Linked DNA regions of Mus musculus. The protein of the gene in region 1 binds, or shares a complex with, the protein of each later gene. Links are inferred from orthologs where the notes say so. Each region holds a gene or a part of one and is shown on either strand. Other genes may lie near its edges.

Region 1 (3,500 bases):
GCCAGGGCTATACAGAAAAACCCTGTCTCCAGAAAACAAAACAAAACAACAACAAAAATAAACATCTTTTTTAAAAGTTGAGCTGGAAAAAAAAAAAAAACAAGCAAAAAACCCCAGCAACAACAACAAAAAAGTTGAGTTGGGCATGGTGATGCACATCTTTAATCCCAGCACTTGTGAGGTAAGCAGGCAGATTTCTTCATTTGAGGCCAGCCAGAGCTACACAAGAGAAACCATCTCAAAGCACTCCCAGCTGCCCGCCAAATAAAAAGTCATTTTTGAAGCCGGGCGTGGTGGTGCACGCCTTTAATGGGAGGCAGAGGCAGGTGGATTTCTGAGTTCGAGTCCAGCCTGGTCTACAGAGTTCCAGGACAGCCAGGGCTATACAGAGAAACCCTGTCTCAAAAAAACCAAACCAAAACCAAAACAAACAAAAAGTCATTTTTGTTTTGTTTTTTGAAATAAGACTTTATACCCCAGGTTGGCCTTGAATATCCTATGTAGAAGAAAGAGTCTGGCTTTGAATTTGTGAAAGTTCTGAGTCTGCCTCCCAAATGTTGGGAATAGAGGCATGCTCTGTTGTGCATGGCTTCTAAAAGAATAATTTGAGTATTATAAATTGGCTGTAAATAAGACTGTTACATATGAGTGTGAGCTGCTTTGTGACTGGAGTGTAGCTCAGTTGGAAGAGTGCTAAGAAGCCTTGGGTTCAACCCACTGCACTGCATAGAATCAGCCTGGGATCCCAGACCCCTAGTCAAAGCATGTAGGGAGCAGAGGCAGGAGGCCCAAAAGTCATGATCTCATTGTTGGCTACAGAGAGAGCAGAAGAGTGGGGCTAGAATGATGCTCAGGAGCTAAGAGCCTTACTCTTCATGGCTGCTCACAGCCACCTGAACTAGATCAGGGGATCTAAAACTTTCCAGACTCCACTGACCCCAGGCTTTCAATAGGTACTCACACAGACATGCAGGCAAAAAACAAATACACAGAAAAGAAAAATAGATAAATCTTTTAAAATATTTTTTAAAAATCTTAACATGATTAACACACTACTTTCTGATTGCCAATGATGAATGGAGCTTTAGAAAAAAAGATTTATTTTATGTGTATGAGTGTTGCCTATGGTTTTGTTAAATGCATTGTTGAGGGTGTCTTGAGTTAAACGTGGGGCCTCACACACAAGTGCCATGCTGCTAGGACACATTCCCCAAGCCTAGTATTGAGTTTTGAATTACATTTTTTTCCCAGTATAAACAACTAAATGTTTTCTGACCTGGTGGTAGTGGCACATGCCTTGAGGCCCATCACTTGGGAGGCAGAGGCGGGTGGATCTCTGTGAGTTCAAGGCCAGCCTGGTCTACTAAGCAAGTTCCAGCATAGCCAGGCAGGGCTACTCAGAGAAACCCTGTCTCAAAAAACAAAATTAAAGTTTTTTTCTTTCGTGTTAAGGGTTAAGCCCAAGACCTTTGGTATGCTAGGCAGGTCCTGTACCCTGACTTCACCAGCCCAAGAAGACCACTTAGATTGAGATATCTATGCTTTGTGAAATGTGAACAGAAAAAAAAGCATTGACAGTAGCTGGTACTTACTGATGATTCCTAAAACTGTAATTCCTTGTTACTTACGTGGGCTGTGGTCAAAGTGTTTACACATGTGCTAAATATGTGTAGGTTTTGTAAGAAGCAAGCATGAGGGCCAAAGCTGTCTTAAGAGAAAGTACCTTAGACCAAGTTAGGAGATGGGGACTCTAAGCAGAAAAGTACACATGCTAATAAGAGTGTGCTTCATTCTCTGCCACACGCTGTTTGTTTGTTTCTCCAGACTTTAATGCCAAAAGGAAAAAGAAGGTGGCAGAGATACACCAGGCTCTGAACAGTGATCCCATCGACTTGGCTGCCCTCCGACGAATGGCTATCAGTGAGGGAGGGCTCCTGACTGATGAGATCAGGTGCCAAGTATGGCCTAAGCTCCTCAACGTGAACACCAGTGAGCCACCGCCTGTGTCAAGTAAGGGAGCAGAATCCTGAGGTGGGGGCTTCAACTAGGGACTGACATCTTGTCTAGCTAGAGGTGTTTGCTTAGGGGGAAAAAGAGGAATTCTCTTACGTGGTTGGGAAGATGGCTCAGAGGACCTGGGTTCAGTTCCCAGCACATTTAAGGTGGCTTACAACCATTTGTAACTCTAGTTCCAGAAGGTTCAATGTCCCCTTCTGGCCTCCAATGGCACCAGAGAGAAGTGCTAAGGTTCCTTGGCATTCTAGAATTCTTTAATTCAGTACAAGCTGTTGATTAACGACTTTGTAAGCCATGTAGTGATGGGAAATCTGGGGAAAGCACTGGGAACAAGTGCTGCAGAGCACCAGTGCCATTGCCTGCCCTGCCACCCCTGCCACCCCTGCCACCCCTGCCACCCTGCCACCCTGCCACCCTGTTCATGTGGCAGTGGACTCTGTGTCCAGTGTTCTGGGACTTATCAAATCTCGGTGTCCCTGCTGTGTACCACATACTAGATGTGATTAAATGATTCATGTGCTAAAAGTCTGATGATGTAGTGCACAGTGGATGCTAGGTTGCTACATGTTACACTTGCTATGGATATTTGAGACTGGCTGGCTCAGAGCAGTGGGCTTTGTGTTGCAGGGAGTCAGGCGCTTTGCCCTGGGAAGGCATTTTTCTCTCACATTCCAAACTGCACGACAGATGCTAAGATGAAGAAAGTATATGTGGGTGAGGGTTGGGGGTGGGTATGTAAGTCTTACACAGGTTCCTCTGTGTGGGCTGTGAGGAAAATGAACTTACCCAGCACTTGGCTTGGGATAAGGATAAGACATGCTTGTATCTGTAAACTAGCACAGTTGATAAGAACATTTGCTTAACATGTACAAGGTTCAATCCTAGCACTGCACAAAACTAATTATGGTGGCACATGCCTGTAATCCCTAGTATTGGGATGGCATCAGGAGAATCTAGAGTCAGAGAGAGGCAGGTGGATCTCTGAGTTCAAGGACGGCCAAAAGAGGGCATCAGATGCCCTTATAGATGGTTGTGAGCCACCATGTGGTACTGGGAATTTAACTCAGAACCTCTGGCAGAGCAGCCAATGCTCTTAGTCTCTGAGCATGGCCTTTCCTTCAGTTTCTGCTCTACTCTTTGTCCCTGCATTTCCTTTTGACAGGAGGAATTCCTCAGTCGGGGGGCCATGCTTATCCACTGGATATGATCTATACAGGTTCTCTCTCCCCTTCGTTGGGTATTTTGGCTCATGTCATCCCTGTTGGGTCCTGGGAACCTCTTGAGTCCCTGGCATTTGGGACTTAAAGTGGCTACTCCCAGGTCCCCCTCTCCAACTGCTACTCACCTCTGTTCAAATTCCTGACCCTTTGTACGCCCCCCCCCCCAACACCTGATCCCCTGTGATGTTTTAATATGTAGTTGTTAGTATTTAGCAGTTTTACTCCAGAGCCACTCCCATGTCATATCCTCAGATGCTCAAGGCC
Region 2 (16,523 bases), on another chromosome or scaffold:
AAAAACCCAAACCAAGTTGAGTGTGGTGGCACACGCCTTTAATCCCACTCGGGAGGCAGAGGCAGGCAGATTTCTGAGTTCTAGGCCAGCCTGGTCTACAAAGTGAGTTCCTGTCAGCCACCCTTCAGGGTTCTTTGAACAATCACTAGCCCTAGACAGGAAGCAGTAATATATTGGTGTTAGCTACAGTGGGTAGATTGTAACCAAAGGGGAACAAAGGGAGAGTCTGAGAGCTCAGATTCCACAGAGAAACCCTGTCTCGAAAAACAAACAAACAAAAAAAACCCAAAAAAAAAACCCCAAACCAACATGTCCCCCCACCCTCCCAAAAAACATAGTGGTCATGCCATCTATTGTATGTACTTCCAGGTTGTTTGAGGACTTGTTTTGTTTTGTTTTGTTTTTGAGACGGTCTCTACATAACCCTGGCTGTCCTGAAACTTACTATGTAGATCAAGCTGGCTCTGAACTCACAGAGATCCACCTGCCTCTGCCTCTGCCTCCTAAGTGCTGGAACAGAGCATGTGCCATCTGGACTTTTTTTTTTTTTTTTTTTTTTTTTAAGATTAGTGGTTATAAAAACACCTATCCCTTGAAATGTTTTCAAATATCCAAGTAGAGTGGCCCACACCTTTAATTCCAGCACTCTAGAGGCAAAAGTAGGTGAATACCTGAGTTCGAGGCCAGCCTAGTCTACAGAACAAGTTCCAAGACAGACAGGGCTACATAAAGAAAACTTGTCTTTAAAAAAAATGAAAAAATAGCCAGGCAGTGGTGGCGCATGCCTTTAATCCCATCACTTGGCAGGCAGATTTCTGAGTTCAAGGCCAGCCTGGTCTACAGAGTGAGTTCCAGGACAGCCAGCGCTACACAGAAAAACCCTGTCTCCCAAAACCAAAAAAAGAAGAAGAAGAAATAAAATAAAAAACATTTGCTAACTAAGTAGAAAATACAGGGTCCTAGACTCCAACCTTCTGGAAAGGCAATGTGTTACCTCCTCTCTTCGCTGTCAGTTACAGAGATAGTTCTGCAGGGTTCTAGGCTGCAGGTCTTTCACAGATAGGGAACAGAGTGTCATAGAGGTTACAGGCAGTGGAGATGGAGCATGGGGGAGGCATGACTGAAAAGAGGCAGTGATCCTGGTCTGAGAAGCATGGATAGGAACATATAGCCTATACCAAGGCCCATGACTAACGGACACCTGGAGAGTCAGATGTTAAAAGAGCTGGGTGTTGGGACTAAGGCCAGTGCAGCCCTTTCCACCCTTTAGGGACTTAGGACATATGCTGCCTCCCTTCAGCAGGCAGACAGGGCTGTGGACCCTTAGCAGATTAGGGTGAGGTCTCTTTGTGTCCTGTCAGCCACCCTTCAGGGTTCTTTGAACAATCACTAGCCCTAGACAGGAAGCAGTAATATATTGGTGATAGCTACAGTGGGTAGATTGTAACCAAAGGGGAACAAAGGGAGAGTCTGAGAGCTCAGATCCTACAGGATCTTGGCCAGCAAAATTACCAAACCTACTCTTCGGTCTTAGATGTAGGTCTGCGGTCCTGGGAAGGGGAGAACTTAGGAGGCCTGACATTTACCTAGCCAGGGCCCAGCCCTTCACTGGCCTCCAGGTGACTGAGGCAGTAGTTATAGGCAAAGTGATGGCTAGGATTCTGACCTTGGTCTGGCTGGCTGCACAGGTGATCCTGGCATTATCAAGCCATCTGGGGGCTGTGGAGTCAGAGAAGCAGAAGCTGCGGGCTCAGGTGCGGCGCCTGGTACAAGAGAACCAGTGGTTGCGTGAGGAGCTGGCAGGGACACAGCAGAAGCTGCAGCGCAGTGAACAGGCGGTGGCTCAGCTGGAGGAAGAGAAGCAGCACCTGCTATTCATGAGTCAGATCCGAAAGCTGGATGAGGATGCTTCCCCAAATGTGAGCCCCAGCTGGCCAACATCCAGTTCCCACATGCCTGCTGATACCTCTGCTACTGGGGCTGACAATCATTCCTGTCTTCCTTTCCAGGAGGAGAAGGGTGATGTCCCCAAAGACTCCCTGGATGACCTGTTTCCCAATGAAGATGAACAGAGCCCAGGTATAAAAGGGCAGTTAGCTCTGAGTTGAGGGAAGGGTCCTTTAAGTCCTGTAGGTCATAAGAGGTGGGTATTAGTGAGATCCATGCTTTTTTTTGCCTTATTTCCAATTACAATGTCCTAGCATGTTAGGGTTTAAAAGGCAAGTCTTGGCCAGGCAGTGGTAACACATGCTTTTAATCTCAGCAACGGAGAGGCAGAAGCAGGCGGATCTTTGGTGAGTTGGATGCCATCCAGGGCAGCCAGAGCTGTTACACTGAGAAACTCTGTCTCAAAAAAGAAAAAAACAAACAAACAGAACAAAACAAAAATCAAAGGGCAGGTTCAGGTTTTCCCTGCTGCATCCCTGAGCTCTGTGGAGAGCACATGACAAGCTTAGTAGGTCTGGAGGAGCTGAGCCTGGCCAAAGTCAGTTACTTTCTGGACCTCTTTAGACAGAAAAATCATGCAGGGCCTTGCTGAGCTGGACCAAAATGTTTCTCTTAAAATGTAGATGCAGGCGGGGCGGTGGTGGTGCACGCCTTTAATCCCAACACTTGGGAGGCAGAGGCAGGCGGATTTCTGAGTTTGAGGCCAGCCTGGTCTACAGAGTGAGTTCCAGGACAGCCAGGGCTACACAGAGAAACCCTGTCTTGAAAAACAAACAAAAGAAAATGTAGATGCAGATGAGATGAGGGGTAGGACTCACTCCTTGTGCAATAACTAACCTACTCTGAAAGTTCAGAAGCTGAGGCAGATTGGTGACTTGCCCAGGTACACAAGAGCAAAAGGTATAGTTGGCATATGCCAGCTTGGCTCAGAAAGGAGAAGGCACATCTGACTTCCTACCCTTGGCCTCGTAGCCCCCAGCCCTGGAGGAGGAGATGTAGCTGCACAGCATGGGGGCTATGAGATCCCAGCACGGCTACGGACCCTCCACAACCTGGTAATCCAGTATGCTTCACAAGGCCGCTATGAGGTGGCCGTGCCCCTCTGCAAGCAGGCACTGGAAGATTTGGAGAAGACATCAGGCCATGACCACCCTGATGTGGCCACCATGCTGAACATCCTGGCACTGGTTTATCGGTAAGGGCCCCCTGGCTGTGTGGGCATACCTGCATCCTTCCATATGAGTGTCTCGGGGACAGTTGAGCAGCACAGAAAGACGAACATGCCTCTGTAAAGCTGGCCTCCAACTGGAAATACACCTGTCAGAGTTTTAATACAAGGTTGGGCCAGGCAGTGATAGCACACACCTTTAATCCCAGCACTTGGGGAAGCAGAGGCAGGCGGATTTCTGAGTTTGAGGCCAGCCTGGTCTACAGAGTGAGTCCAGGACAGCCAGGGCTATACAGAGACACCCTGTCTAGAAAAACCAAAAAATTAAAAAAGTGAGTTAGAAGCCAGGTGTGGTGGTGCACACTATAAGCACTTAGGAAGTGGAAGTGAGACAGTTGGGAATTTTTTTTTTTTTTAGGTATTTTCCTCGTTTAGGGAATTGGTTTTATACCTAATTCAAGGCTACCTTGGGATACATGAAACCCTGGGAAGAGAGGAAAAGGACAAGCAAGGGAAGACAGGTGGGGTGGAAAGTTGGCCCAGAACTCATGATGGATGAAAGGGTTTCTGTGGCAGAAAGTGACCGTGAGCCAATGCATTGGGGATCACTTAAAGTTGAGTTACTCAGGGGTCTGGCTATGAGGTGTGGTAAACTGCCTAATGTCCTCAGAGTTCTCAAGGGTAGGGCTGCCCAGGCCTCCCATGCTCTGAGTTGCACTCCTATCGTGTCCACTCATCAGTGACCCCAGGAGAAGTGCCTGCAGGGACTACGGGCCCCTGGGGGCAGGCTTCGGGCTGGAGGACATTCCTGAATGTCCTGCCTGCTCCCAGGGACCAGAATAAGTACAAGGATGCTGCTCACCTGCTCAATGATGCCCTGGCTATCCGGGAAAAGACACTGGGCAAGGACCACCCAGCTGTGAGTAAGAGTTAGCCTAAGTGTTCCTCTCCAGTCCTCACAAGTTCCAGATCCCCCTGCCTGCTAGGGCCCTGAGTGAAGACACCTCCATTCTCCTACATCCAGGTGGCTGCGACCCTCAACAATCTGGCTGTTCTCTACGGCAAACGGGGCAAGTACAAAGAGGCTGAGCCACTGTGCAAGAGAGCACTGGAGATCCGGGAGAAGGTGGGAGCAGGCAGGGCCAAGAGTGCTGGGCAGACAGTAGAATCTGGGCAACTCTGAACCCGACCGCTGACTCTTACCAGGTCCTGGGCAAGTTTCACCCAGATGTGGCCAAGCAGCTCAGCAACCTGGCCTTGCTGTGCCAGAACCAGGGCAAAGCTGAGGAGGTGGAATACTACTACCGGAGAGCCCTGGAGATCTATGCCACACGCCTTGGTCCTGATGACCCCAATGTGGCGAAGACCAAGAACAACCTGGTGCTCTGTGGCTGGGCGGGAGGCTGGAAAGGAAGGAGGCAGGGAGGGAGAGGGCTGATGTCCAGGAGGAAGGAGAAAGAAAACTAAGCTCCCTGCAGGCTGCTTACCCACTGTCTCTGCCATCCAGGCTTCCTGCTACCTGAAACAGGGCAAGTACCAGGATGCAGAGACCCTGTACAAGGAGATCCTTACCCGTGCGCACGAGAAGGAGTTTGGCTCAGTCAATGGTGAGTCCATAGTTGCTATGTACCTCCAGTTCATTTAACACATGCTTACTCAGCCAGGAGTACCCAGGGCAGTACTTGGCCTTGCAAGCCATCTTGCCTAGAGTTTGGCAGAAGCCCAGACACACCTTCAGGAACCCATCCACCCAATTCAATGCCCTGGCCAGACAAATTGACAAACCCCCTGCTCAGTCAGTCTTTTGCTCTCTGTCTCTATCTCTGTCTCTCTCTGAGACAAGGTCTGACTATGTAGCCCTGGCTGTCCTGGAACTTACTATGTAGACCAGGCTGGCCTCAAACTCACAGAGATCTGCCTGCCTCTGCCTCTGAGTACTGGGATTAAAGGCGTCTATCAGTACACCCAGTCTCCTCTTTCTCTACATGACAATTTCCATTCACTTTGAGGGCTGGCCCGAGTGTCTTTTCTTCCCCGGAACAACCTTCTGGCCATTTCCTGATCCCCATTCCTCACCCTGGCCCATCATTCAGGCCCATCACCAGTCTCTAGTCCAAGGTGTATAAGGGCCTTCCCCATTACTCCTGTTCCATGTGGCTGGTTCATCTGGGTCCAGAGGATGGCCAGTGATGTTCTGGGTTTGCCTCTTGTTCTTCTATTCAACAAAGCCCAGTTTGGGTCATTCCTACATAGCCCTGACATTACTCCCATGTGCAGCCCGATTGGAGAGATCTGTGTGGCAGGCAGGTGACAGTCCTTCCCTTCTAGGAGAGAACAAGCCCATCTGGATGCACGCAGAGGAGCGCGAGGAGAGCAAGGTGGGCAGCTGTGGGCAGCTGGCAGGTGTAGGGCGGCTCTGAGGCTGGGATGGAAGGAGCCTGGCTTACTCCCGGCTCTCAACTGACTGGTCTCTCCCTCAGGATAAGCGCCGGGACAGCGCCCCCTATGGGGAGTATGGCAGCTGGTACAAAGCCTGTAAAGTTGACAGGTGAGGGCTGATGGGCCTGGGGCAGGAGGAGAATGAGTACCAGGGAAGTAGCATCCTTGGTGAGGGAGACCCAGGCCTCAGACTATCCTCACTCCTGTGACGCCTCTCTCATGCTAGCTCACCTCTCAAGGCCCTGACCCAAAACACTATCTGCCCCGTGACAGTTTGGCCCACTCACTGCTGGGTCCCCAGCTTCTGATCCTGGTGGCAGCATCCTAGAAATCTAGGGCTAGGCCAGGTCTTTCAGAATGGGAGAGACCAGTGGGTTTACCACAGGCTTAGGCAGGTGGGGAAAGGCAGATTCTGCGTGGCCTGTTTGCTCGATATTAGACCCCCATGTGATATCTGTCCACAGTCCCACAGTCAACACCACTCTGCGAAGCTTGGGCGCCCTGTACCGGCGCCAGGGCAAGCTGGAAGCCGCACACACACTGGAAGACTGTGCCAGCCGCAGCCGCAAACAGGTAGGGCTTTCATGGTGGAGGAGGATAAGTAGAGACCTATGAGGCTCCATGTGTGCTTTAGTCAGGTCTGATGCTTCCTGCCCCCTTCAGGGCCTGGATCCTGCCAGCCAGACCAAGGTGGTAGAACTGTTAAAAGATGGCAGTGGTGGACGAGGACACCGCCGTGGCAGCAGAGATGTGGCTGGGCCTCAATCTGAGTCGGACCTGGAGGAGTCAGGGCCTGCAGCTGAGTGGAGTGGGGTGAGTGTGGAGGCTGAGGAGGGCTGTAAGACTACAAAGCAGGGCCTAGAGACTGTTCTTCCCACAGGACGGCAGCGGCTCTCTGCGGCGCAGTGGCTCCTTTGGGAAGCTCCGGGATGCTCTGAGACGCAGCAGTGAGATGCTGGTGAGGAAGCTGCAGGGAGGGGGCCCACAGGAGCCCCCTAACTCTAGGTGAGCTGCTGACCCTCCCATCCCTCTCGGAAAACACTGTCACCAGATCTGCTTTATCATGCCCTCCATCCCAGACCCAACCTGGTATCCCTTTATTATCTCACCTAATATTAACAAATCCTGGCCCTCCTTTTTCTCAGGATGAAGAGGGCCAGCTCTCTTAACTTCCTTAACAAGAGTGTGGAAGAGCCAGTCCAGGTAAGAATGGAGGGCACCTGGTACTAGGCAGCCTAGACCCAGGCCTCTGGGCCCTGTTTTTACTGTGTATGGCCCCACCCAACTTCCCCTGGTGAGTCTTTAGCCAACCACTGCTCTGGTTTCAGGCGGAGATTGGTAGAAACAAGTGGAGGGAGAGGTCAGATAAAGGGAAAACTCTTGCCTTGGGGCAGAGATCCAGTCAACCAGTTCCCACTTGAAGCTCTCAGGTCCTGGTTGTGAGCTAAACTTTAACTTTGGCCAGTCTTAGACTGGCTGTATTTGCACAGGGCACCTAGTTTGGCCCTTTTATCATCCCTTCCTCTTCTGGAATGCTGCGTGTGTGTCGTCCCCCCACCCCCCACGTCCCCCTTCACTCCCAACAGTTTAGGACTAAGCTGCATCCTCTGCCCACAGCCTGGAGGCACGGGTCTTTCTGACAGCCGCACTTTGAGCTCCAGCTCCATGGACCTCTCTCGAAGAAGCTCCCTGGTGGGCTAAAGCTGAAGGGGCAGCCAGTCACCAGAGCCTCCATCCGACATGGTCCCTTCCCCCAGCCCTGCGCATGGGCCTGCTGCTTGTCCTGCCTGCCCCTCCCAAGGACCCCTGTCTTTTCTGTTCAATCTCAGGGTAACTTCCTCCCTTGTCATCTCAGCCATGGCCCTGGAGGACGGTCCTGCCGGCTCCAGCTCTGCTCCTTATTTATTCTTCCAGCAGGGGGCCTTTCTTCCCTGAGTTCAGGGCCTGTGGGAGTGGTGGCCTGTCTACCCAGCCCCAAAGCCAAGAACACTAAGTACTTGCTGTCCCCTCAGCACCTTTGCCCTCCACTCCCGGCCGTTGCTTCTGTATATAGAGAAATAAGTTATTGGCCGTGTGTCATCCTCTCAGCCCTCCTCTCAGTCCACGGTATTCCCGGGCCACCACCTGCCTCTCTCTTATCCAGTGGTACCGCCCAGGCCTTAAATCACCCCGTTCCCAGTGGTGGTATCTCCCAAGCTTCAAGTTCTGGGACCAGAGCCTCCCAAAAGGGGTCCCTAGACCTCTTCGCCTGGTCTTGGAGGGATTCGTTCCACTCCATCTTGCAAATGCCCAGACCCTCACACCACAGGGCCCTGTGCTGCTTCCGGGGACTTAATGCACTGTCCTCCCCCACCCCGCCCCCACCCCAGCCCCTCCCAGGCATGGCCTGACCCCACCCTGGGCACAGCCCATTGAGCCATCCTGCCACGCCATCCTTGCCTCAGCTTCTGATGTCCCCCTTCCTCCCACACAGTAGGAGGGGCTACCCCATTTGTTGGGTAAGGCAGTCACTCTCTATTTTCAGATGTTGCTGTAGAAATAAAGACGATTTGAATCTGAACCGGGCTTGTTTTGAGGAGTCCCAGAGCCCCTGAGCATCCCTTGAGTCGGGTGGAATCGGGAGAGGCTGCGGGAGTGAGGGATACAGGATACACACGCATATCATTCCCTGCCCTCGAGGCTGGAACTAATACTCTGCCATTATCCTGAACTGTTTGGGGGGGATGCTACAGATTTTGGGGTTGCACCTAACACATGCCCTTATGGGGTTCTAGACAATTCTGCCTGTTATGACTTCTTAATACGTTCTTGGACTGAGCTTCCTGAGATGGTTTTTCATATATGTAATACTAGTGATCATATAATCCTGGTACTAAGGCTGCAGTGTCCATTCCACGAAGAACACTGAATAAGTCAAAATTTTCTGGTCCTAAATACGCTACACCTTTTAGTTTCAATCTGCGAACCGAGAGGGTAAAAGTGGCTGCCCACCTCAGAGGCGAAGTATACCTACCTACCCCGGTACTAAACAAGATCCAAACTTGCAGATTAGGTAGCCCAACGAAGATTTTTTTGTAGCTGGGTCGGTTCAGTGATTGGGAAGACTACAGACCCCAGAAGGCCGTTCGCGGGTGGCTTCTGGAGAGTGCACGGCCGCTCTGTTCCCTGAGTTGCGCCTGCGCAGCAGTGGCAAGTCGAATATCCATGGAAACTACAGGTTCCGCAAGGCAGCGCGGCGCAACCCGAGTCGGAAGGATTTGCGCCTGCGCGGCGCGGGCGGGGCCTCTAGGGCGGAGTGGCAACCATCTTGGAACGGGAGGCGGAGCAGAGCCGACTGGGAGCGACCGAGCGGGCCACCGCTGCCGCCATGAACCCCGAATAGTGAGTGAGCCCCGCCCGCGCCGTGCGGCGCAGCCTCGATCCTGTCTATGGGGCTATATGCTTGCCGAAGTTGTCTGGCCTTGGTCAGAACTGCGCGGCGCCCCCACATCCGGGTCCCTCTTCCGCTGACCCCCCCCTTACATCCGGGTCCTGCCCCTCCCCCCGGGATCCCCAGGACCCCGACTCAACACCCCGAGTTCTGCAGCCCGAGGCCCGGAGGCTGCAGCCTGAATGGGCAGCACTTGGAGCCCGCAGCACCAGCCCTCACAGGCCTTTTTGGTTAGGTGACCGTGCAGATTTGGTCTCCCTGAGCTTCAATTTTCCCACCTACAGCTTGACCAAGGGCAGGCGGTTTGGAGCCCATCGCTAGAGTTTCTGATCTCCACAGTCGAGTACTTTGAGTTGGGCTGTGAACCTCTCTGCCTTTGCCTTTCTTCTGGAGCCTCGGTCCCAGGGCTGGCCTAGAAGCTAACAAGACAAGAGGGGACCCCCAAGTCCCTGTTTGATTCACATCCCCTGCAGATCCTTTCCTCCGAGGCTACCATTTGCCCTGCTTGGGTCGTGCTGTCATGGTGCTCCCGGCGGTCTGTTCTTTTCTGTCCTCTCACCTTTGCTCGGGCCTTCAGTGCCACTGTCAGCTGGCTTCCTGTCACACTGCCAAAGAACTTTAGGTGAATGTGGAGTTTGCTTGCTCCCTTGGAGTAGAATTTTTATTCCTCAAGCCCAAACCCTTTGGAGTAGATGGCCGGCATGCAGTTTTGCACCCACGTTATCTTCTTCCCTGTCTCCACTTCCTTTTTCTTCCCCAACTCGAGGCCTCAGATTTCCTTGAGGAGGCTCGAACTCAGAAGTGGGCTTAGGAGGGGGAAGCTACCGGCTGGCTGTCAAAGAGCTTGGAATCTGACAGGCCTGGTTTCCAGTCTCACAGTTTTCAACTGCTTAGGGCAAGTCACCTCCCTTCTGTGACCTCTGGCTTCCTCAGTGGTTGGAAATAACACTCACCCACTTGTGTGCACTGTTGTGAGGGTTTAGTAAAGGGTGATTTCAAGTGCTTCACACAGGGTCAGTTCCAGTTTAGTATTGACGGCTGCTTCCATGGCCACTTGTTGACTGCCTCCTGTTAGTGTGACTTCATCTCAGGCTCTTTCACATTTGTTTTTTGTTTTGGATTTTTCAGACAGGGTTTCTCTGCAGCCCTGGCTGTCCTGAAACTCACTCTGTAGACCAGGTTGGCCTAGGACTCAGAATTCTGTCTGCCTCTGCCAAGAGGCAAGCACCGTCCTCCCCTCACCACACACAGACACACACACACATACACACACTCACACACTCACTCATCACCTCCCATTCCAGCTTCATATTTATTTTGACTTTATGGGTCAGGTTTCCCTTTTGGGTCCTAGACTGGCATACTGTATGGCCTAATGTGATTTTCTTAGTTTTTACCAAATGATACCACATATCTCTTAGCAAACTGTGCTAGCTTATTGGGGGCTAATAAGGGTCAATTTTTTTTACTTACTTTTGTCCCTTTTTCAGAACAGTAGAAGGCTCTAGTGAGCACCGTAGTAGACCAAGCAGAAGTATGCCTTACAGTCCTGCTGTGCTTAGTGCAGGAAGGGACAGGGGAGGACTTCCTGCTTGCCTTCATACCTTCCCATCTTCTCTCGCCAGTGACTACCTGTTTAAGCTGCTTTTGATTGGTGACTCCGGCGTGGGCAAGTCGTGCCTGCTCCTGCGGTTTGCTGTGAGTAAGAAGCACCCCTCTATTATCCACTTGGGGTTCAGGCTGCCACTGGGAGGAAGAAGGGGCAACTCAGAACTCAGTGTAGTTGCAAGTCCTAAGAACCAAGAGTGAGGCTGCTGGAGCCGCCACAGCGAGGGCCCAGGCCTTCCTTGCAAGTTGGGGAGCTTAGAACCTCGCCTGGCACAGTGAGGAGCACAGCAGGGCAGGGACCTGTCTGCTCAGTCCGTTTCACCAGCCACAACCTTTCAGGATGACACTTACACAGAGAGCTACATCAGCACCATCGGTGTGGATTTCAAGATTCGAACCATTGAGCTGGACGGCAAAACCATCAAACTGCAGATTGTGAGTATGACCCCTCTCCAGCCCTCAGGCAAAAGTGGCTTCCTCGGGGTGGGAGTTCTCCCGTGGCTGACCTACCCTTTTCCTCCTGACTCGTAGTGGGACACAGCTGGTCAGGAGCGGTTCAGGACCATCACTTCCAGCTACTATCGCGGGGCTCATGGCATCATTGTGGTGTATGACGTCACTGACCAGGTACCGCTTGCAGCCTTGCCTCCTTAGCCTTGAGTTTTGATTCTTGCTGCTTTTCCTGTTTTCATTTTCCTTAAGCTTTCTAGAAGGGAGACACTATATTGAATCGCTCCATAAAAAGGAAATGGATCCTACCAAACCCTGTCATGGAGTCTTGATAGAACCAGGCTTCATGGCTCCTGCCACTTTATTCTAGACTTTCTAGACTACCATGTTTGGTGACAGTTAATCAGCTGGTTGGTTGCTCTTGGTTCCATGCTTCCTGTCTCCAGATTCGAGGAGCAATTGGAAGGCTTTAGACAACACGTGAAGGAGTCCGGTGTAAGCAGAGATTCTGAAATCCTGTATCTGCTGTGGTGGCTTCAGTCATGTGTCACACTGGCAGCAGCCAACAATTGTCCTGAGTGTGTCTTACAGCTTATAGACACTGTAGCCTTTAGATTTCCTTGGTTGTTTACCCCATTAAATGTGAGTTTCGCTCTGTTACCAGCCTGTCCCAAATTCCTCAGCTTAAGTGGTCCTGAGGTCCTGGGCAGCCACCACTGTGCCTAGCTTCTAATTGGTTGTTTGTTGTTGTTGTTGTTCTTTTGGTTACTTTGAGACAGGGTTTCTCTATGTAGCCTTGGCTGTCCCAGAACTCAATCCGTATAGACCAGGCTGGCCTCAAACTCAGAAACCCGCCTGCCTCTGCCTCCCAAGTACAGGTGTGCGCCACCACTGCCTGGCTATATAACTGTCTTTTGATGCTCATGAGAAGTCCCTCATGTTCCCATCTTAAAGACGGAGACGTGGTACAGGCTGGTGCAGTAACTTGCTAGGGCCTTCCATCTAGTTATAAAAAGCCTGGTCCCCTGACCCATCTGCTTTGCTTTTCCTATTAAGCCTTGTTGCTTGCATCTCGCCAGGGATATGGAAGTGTGATCAGTCCTGGGCTGGGGGAGCCCAGAGGCTGTGATACCCATGTCTTCACTTCCCAGCTCTTCTAAGCTGGGTGACCCAAGTGTCACGCAAAGGTCACCAAGACTTTAGTTACTACCAAAAAGCCCAGTCACCTTCTTGCCCGAATTGATTTCTTGCACTGGTTTTCTTCTCTTTCCTTGAACATTTTTGTAGCTCCCCTGTCGTCTCCCCCACACCCCCACCCCAACTAGCATATACTCAGCCAGGGAGCTGTACACCAACCCCTTTAGTTCTTTTTTTATTGACACACCTTTACTGCCCACTAACCTATATTTTGAGCATCCTGACTGACTCTAGCCTCTTCTGTGGTTTGGGTTTTGTCTTGTGTTCTGGGATTCTTATGTCCCCTGGTTCCCAGCTCTCCGCTGCGCTGTGCTGGCCCTCAGTGTCTGTAATGGGAGCAATCCCGATGCTCTTCTTAGCCAGTGAATGAAATGTCAACGCCCTCGTGCTCAGTCCGTCATCAAAGAAGCCAAGGCATGAATCCAAACAGGAGCCACAGAGAAAGGCGCCTCCTGCCTTGTTCCCCATAGGTTGCTCAGCATCCTTTCTTAGACTACCGAAGGCCACCTGTCCAAGGGTGACACTGCCCACAGTGAGCTGCACACCCCTCCCTCCCCCATCAACCATCGATCAAGAAAATGCCCCATAAGTTTACAGGGCAGTCTGATGGAGGCCATCCCTCAGTTTAGTTGTCCTCTTTCCAAATGTTTAGGTTTGTGTCAAGTTGAAAAGCACTGACTAGTACAGCATGCTTCTATTTGAAGAAATTGTTTTCCAGAGGAATCAGTAACTTGCCTCTGGTATCCCAGAAAAGATAGAGCCCCTTCCCTGCCTTCAGCTGCCTCTGTGGGCTCCACACCAGCTGCAGGATTCAGACTCCATCGCTCCACTCACCATCTTCCCAACCCACTTCCTGCATCATCATTTTGTAACATAATCCTTGTTTTCCTGAACAGAAAACTTGCCGTCTCCATAGTTAGTCTCCAGGCACCTCCGTCCTTCCCTCCTCACTTCATCTGTCCCTCATAATAATAGCAGTGATGAGGATAATAGCAGCTCTTGCTAATTGAGCGCTTGTTATGAGACAGGCCTGCTTCCATTCTCCTGCAGACAACAGTTCTGCTGGGAGGTGTTGTCTGTACAAAAGAGGAAACTGACCAGGTCAGGTGACTAGATAACTGAGGTCATGTAATAAATGACCAAGCTTAGGTGACAGTCCAGATTAAGTCTGTGCTCTTTCCTGCTTTGTTCCCTGGTTTAGGACTCTAGATTAGCCCATCCGCTTCTTAGTTGCTCTGCATCTTATTGGTCTGCTCTGGTCCTGCCCAGGCACTTTCTAGAACACAGGTGTGACCTTACAGTCTTCGTCTAAGAAAACCCCCACTAGCTCATGATTGTGCTAAGTTCATCTAGGCAGAGCTCTGTCCTGACCAATTCCTCCCAACCTGCAGTCTGCTCTTCTCCCACTTCCCAAAGACACCACACCCTCTCATTCTAGCAGATGCTGTGCCCTCAGCGGGTAGCTTTTAGTTGAGTCCATGCTTGCCTGCTAGGGTTGGCTGTTGCTTCCTAGGCAGTAATCGTCCTGGGGCTGCTTGACGCTGGCTTTTTATCCCATCTTGTCATGTGTGTGTACTGGTCTGTTTCTCTACGGTCCCCAGTACCCTAAAGCAGGTGTATGTTTGATGTCCCCTCCTTTCAGCATAGAGCCCAGCTTAGGACATGCCGGTGTGTACATTAGAACACAGTGTACTTGAAGGAAAAGAGGAGCTGGGGCGATGGCTCAGCAGTAATTGTGCTCACTGCTCTTACAGAGGACCTAGGCTCCTGTTCCCAGCACTAACGTGGCAGCTCACAGATCTCTATCACTCCAGTTCCAGAGGAACGGACCCCTCTTCTGGCATCCAAGAGCATGAGCCACACACACGGTGCACGCGTAGCCCATTTATAGAAATTCCATCCTTTGTACAAGTTCCATGTCAAGCTGCTAGAGTTGTTAGTATCAGAAGCAGGTGAACCTATCTCCTTCATCAGCCATGGTCGCCATGGGAGGAACCTTTACCTCCCATGGGCTCCAAAGCTTCAAAATTTAAAGGCAGGAGATTATGTAGCTCAGTCGTGAAATGCCTGCCACATTTGGGGAGGGGCGGGGGCTTGGGGAAGTGTTGAAAAGGCATTTTCTGTGTAGCTCTGGCTGTCTTAGAACTGACCAGGCTGGCAACTGAGAGCTTCACCAGCCTCTGCCTCCTGAGTGCTGGGAGTAAAGGCGTGCACCACCATGCTTGCCTCCTTTTCATTATTTTTAATGACTTATTTGTATTTTATATGCATTGGTGGTTTTGCCTTCATGTGTGTCTGTGAGGGTGTCAGATCCCCTGGAATTGGAGCTACAGACAGTTGTAAGCTGCCTTGTGGGTACTGGGAGTTGAACCAGTGCTCTTAACCACTGGGCCATCTCTCCAAGCCCCCCTTTTCCTTTTATTTTGAGAAGGTCTCATTGAGAGGGTCTCATTGAGACCCTAGGCTGGTCTCAAACCTGTGATCTTCCTGCATCAGTCATGCCTGGTGTCACCTGCCTTTCTTCTGATGTCCTTGGCTTCCCAGGAGAGGGTTAGGGAGAAAGAACTGCAGGAAGCAGCAATGACTGTAGGTGCAGGCGGCTGTTGAGGTGATGGCCACTGGCAGGCACTACTCCACTCTGCTTCTGGTTTTCAGGTTTCCGCATGGGAGAGAACCAGGGGAAAGCTAAACCTGGGCTTGGGGTGGGGGAGAGACTTTGTCAGAATCCCCGTGCTCGGGGCCTGCCTTTCAAAGGAGTCCTGTTCTCTAGACCTGGGTTGACCTGGGTGTGGGTGTGCAGTAACTTTGGACACTGTGCCTAGGAGTCCTACGCCAACGTGAAACAGTGGCTGCAGGAGATAGATCGCTACGCCAGTGAGAATGTCAATAAACTCCTGGTAGGCAACAAGAGTGACCTCACCACCAAGAAGGTCGTGGACAACACCACGGCCAAGGTGAGCAGGCCTGCCCTGGCTGTCAGGGGTCTGGGGCCCACATGCCTTCACCCCTTCTCTCCCTGCTCCCCTCTCTCTCTTCTTCCCTTCGCAGGAATTTGCAGACTCTCTGGGTGTCCCCTTCCTCGAGACAAGTGCCAAGAATGCCACCAATGTTGAGCAGGCATTCATGACAATGGCTGCAGAGATCAAAAAGCGGATGGGGCCAGGAGCAGCGTCTGGGGGTGAACGGCCCAACCTGAAGATCGACAGCACCCCTGTGAAGCCTGCTAGCGGTGGCTGCTGCTAGGAGGGGCACTTGGGGGAGGGCACCTTGTCCAGATGATGCCCCTGGAGCGGGCAGGAAGTGCCTCCCTCTCCTAGGGCATTTGAGTCTGTAGCTTTGGGGTGTCCTGGGCTCCCCATCTTCCTCTGGCCCATCTGCCTTCTGCTCTGAGTCCCAGTCCTGTCAGGGCCCCCGTGGAGGACATGCAGAGCCTGTGGCTGGGGTGGTCACAGGGACAGCTCCGCTGCTGCCTCTGGGTACCTTGAAAAGATGCCCACCACGCACCTTTCTTTGGAATGAGGGCTCCGCTGTCTGTCACTCACCCCCATGTATGCTGCACTGGGTTTCTCTTTCCTTTCTTCCCAATAGCAAGGGCCTCCCTGCCTCTGCTGCCCCTGGGTGCAGGCAGTAGCCAGGGGATCCAGGGCCTCAGATCCAGGGTCCTGCATCGGACCTCAGGACAGGTGCCAGGGCTGCGAGAGCCCCATAGCCACCTTTTCCTCATCTCTGCCTCACTCCATCGCTCCCACACAGCTTGAGCCGTCCAGCTGCGGTTAGGTCTTGAGCACATCTAGGGTAGGTGGGCGGATGGCTGCGGGGCCTGTGTCTCAAGCCGGGAGGGAGCCTGCTCCTGCCTCCCCCTGCCCTGCCTGAGCCAGGCCCATGTGCTGCCTGCCCACCGAGCCCCTTTGTCCCTGAGGAAAGCGGAGGCGGAAGGCCCACCTTGCCAAAGGCCGGGCACCAGCCTTAACCCTCACTCTGCCAGCACCACCTCCCTTTTCCGAGGCAGCACATCTGGCTTGTTCTTCCTCCATTCCTCAGAGCCTGACAGGGCCAGACCTGCTTCTCTGGGGAATGTGGGTGCAGCTTGGGGTTGTGGGGCTCTTCCCCCTCCCAACTCAGAATCCTGGCCCCCACCCTCTGGCACAGCTTCCTGTAGAAAACCTTTGGTCTTTACCTAAGAAGCCATGTCCTTTGTGCTGTCTCTTGCCAGTCTCACCCTACAACCTGTCCTCCCCCTCCAGTGTGTATTTAAGTCCCTGGGCTGCCCCTCTGGGAGGGAGC

The links.
Region 2: the proteins of Tbc1d20 (region 1) and Rab1b are in contact, whole or in part, in a crystal structure (PDB 4HLQ), measured with the Homo sapiens proteins. The link is inferred for Mus musculus from reciprocal best matches to the Homo sapiens genes TBC1D20 and RAB1B. Residues at the interface, in NP_653229.1 of Homo sapiens: Gln97, Gln98, Leu101, Asp102, Arg104, Arg105, Leu107, Arg108, His141, Tyr142, Tyr143, Gln144, Gly145, His147, Asp148, Phe177, Met178, Asp179, Pro180, Thr181, Met182, Lys186, Val212, Ile215, Leu218, Ser219, Thr223, His227, Met272, Ala273; in NP_112243.1 of Homo sapiens: Ser17, Gly18, Ser36, Tyr37, Ile38, Ser39, Thr40, Ile41, Gly42, Val43, Asp44, Phe45, Gln60, Trp62, Ala65, Gly66, Gln67, Arg69, Phe70, Thr72, Ile73, Tyr77, Glu94.

The regions. Positions count from the first base shown.
Region 1 is NC_000068.7:152,300,328-152,303,827, forward strand, and holds part of Tbc1d20 (TBC1 domain family member 20), read left to right. Parts: intron 1-1,824; coding exon 1,825-2,010; intron 2,011-3,500. UniProt on the Homo sapiens protein: GTPase-activating protein (GAP) specific for Rab1 and Rab2 small GTPase families for which it can accelerate the intrinsic GTP hydrolysis rate by more than five orders of magnitude. Also shows GAP activity for RAB18 GTPase.
Region 2 is NC_000085.6:5,099,337-5,115,859, reverse strand, and holds the start of Rab1b (ras-related protein Rab-1B), read left to right. Parts: upstream 1-8,863; 5' UTR 8,864-8,921; coding exon 8,922-8,935; intron 8,936-10,609; coding exon 10,610-10,682; intron 10,683-10,931; coding exon 10,932-11,027; intron 11,028-11,123; coding exon 11,124-11,219; intron 11,220-15,061; coding exon 15,062-15,193; intron 15,194-15,287; coding exon 15,288-15,482; 3' UTR 15,483-16,523. Other genes in the region: Klc2 (kinesin light chain 2), read left to right, coding at 1,689-1,919, 2,010-2,079, 2,920-3,142, 3,947-4,034, 4,140-4,241, 4,322-4,495, 4,623-4,722, 5,393-5,493 and 6 more. UniProt on the Homo sapiens protein: The small GTPases Rab are key regulators of intracellular membrane trafficking, from the formation of transport vesicles to their fusion with membranes.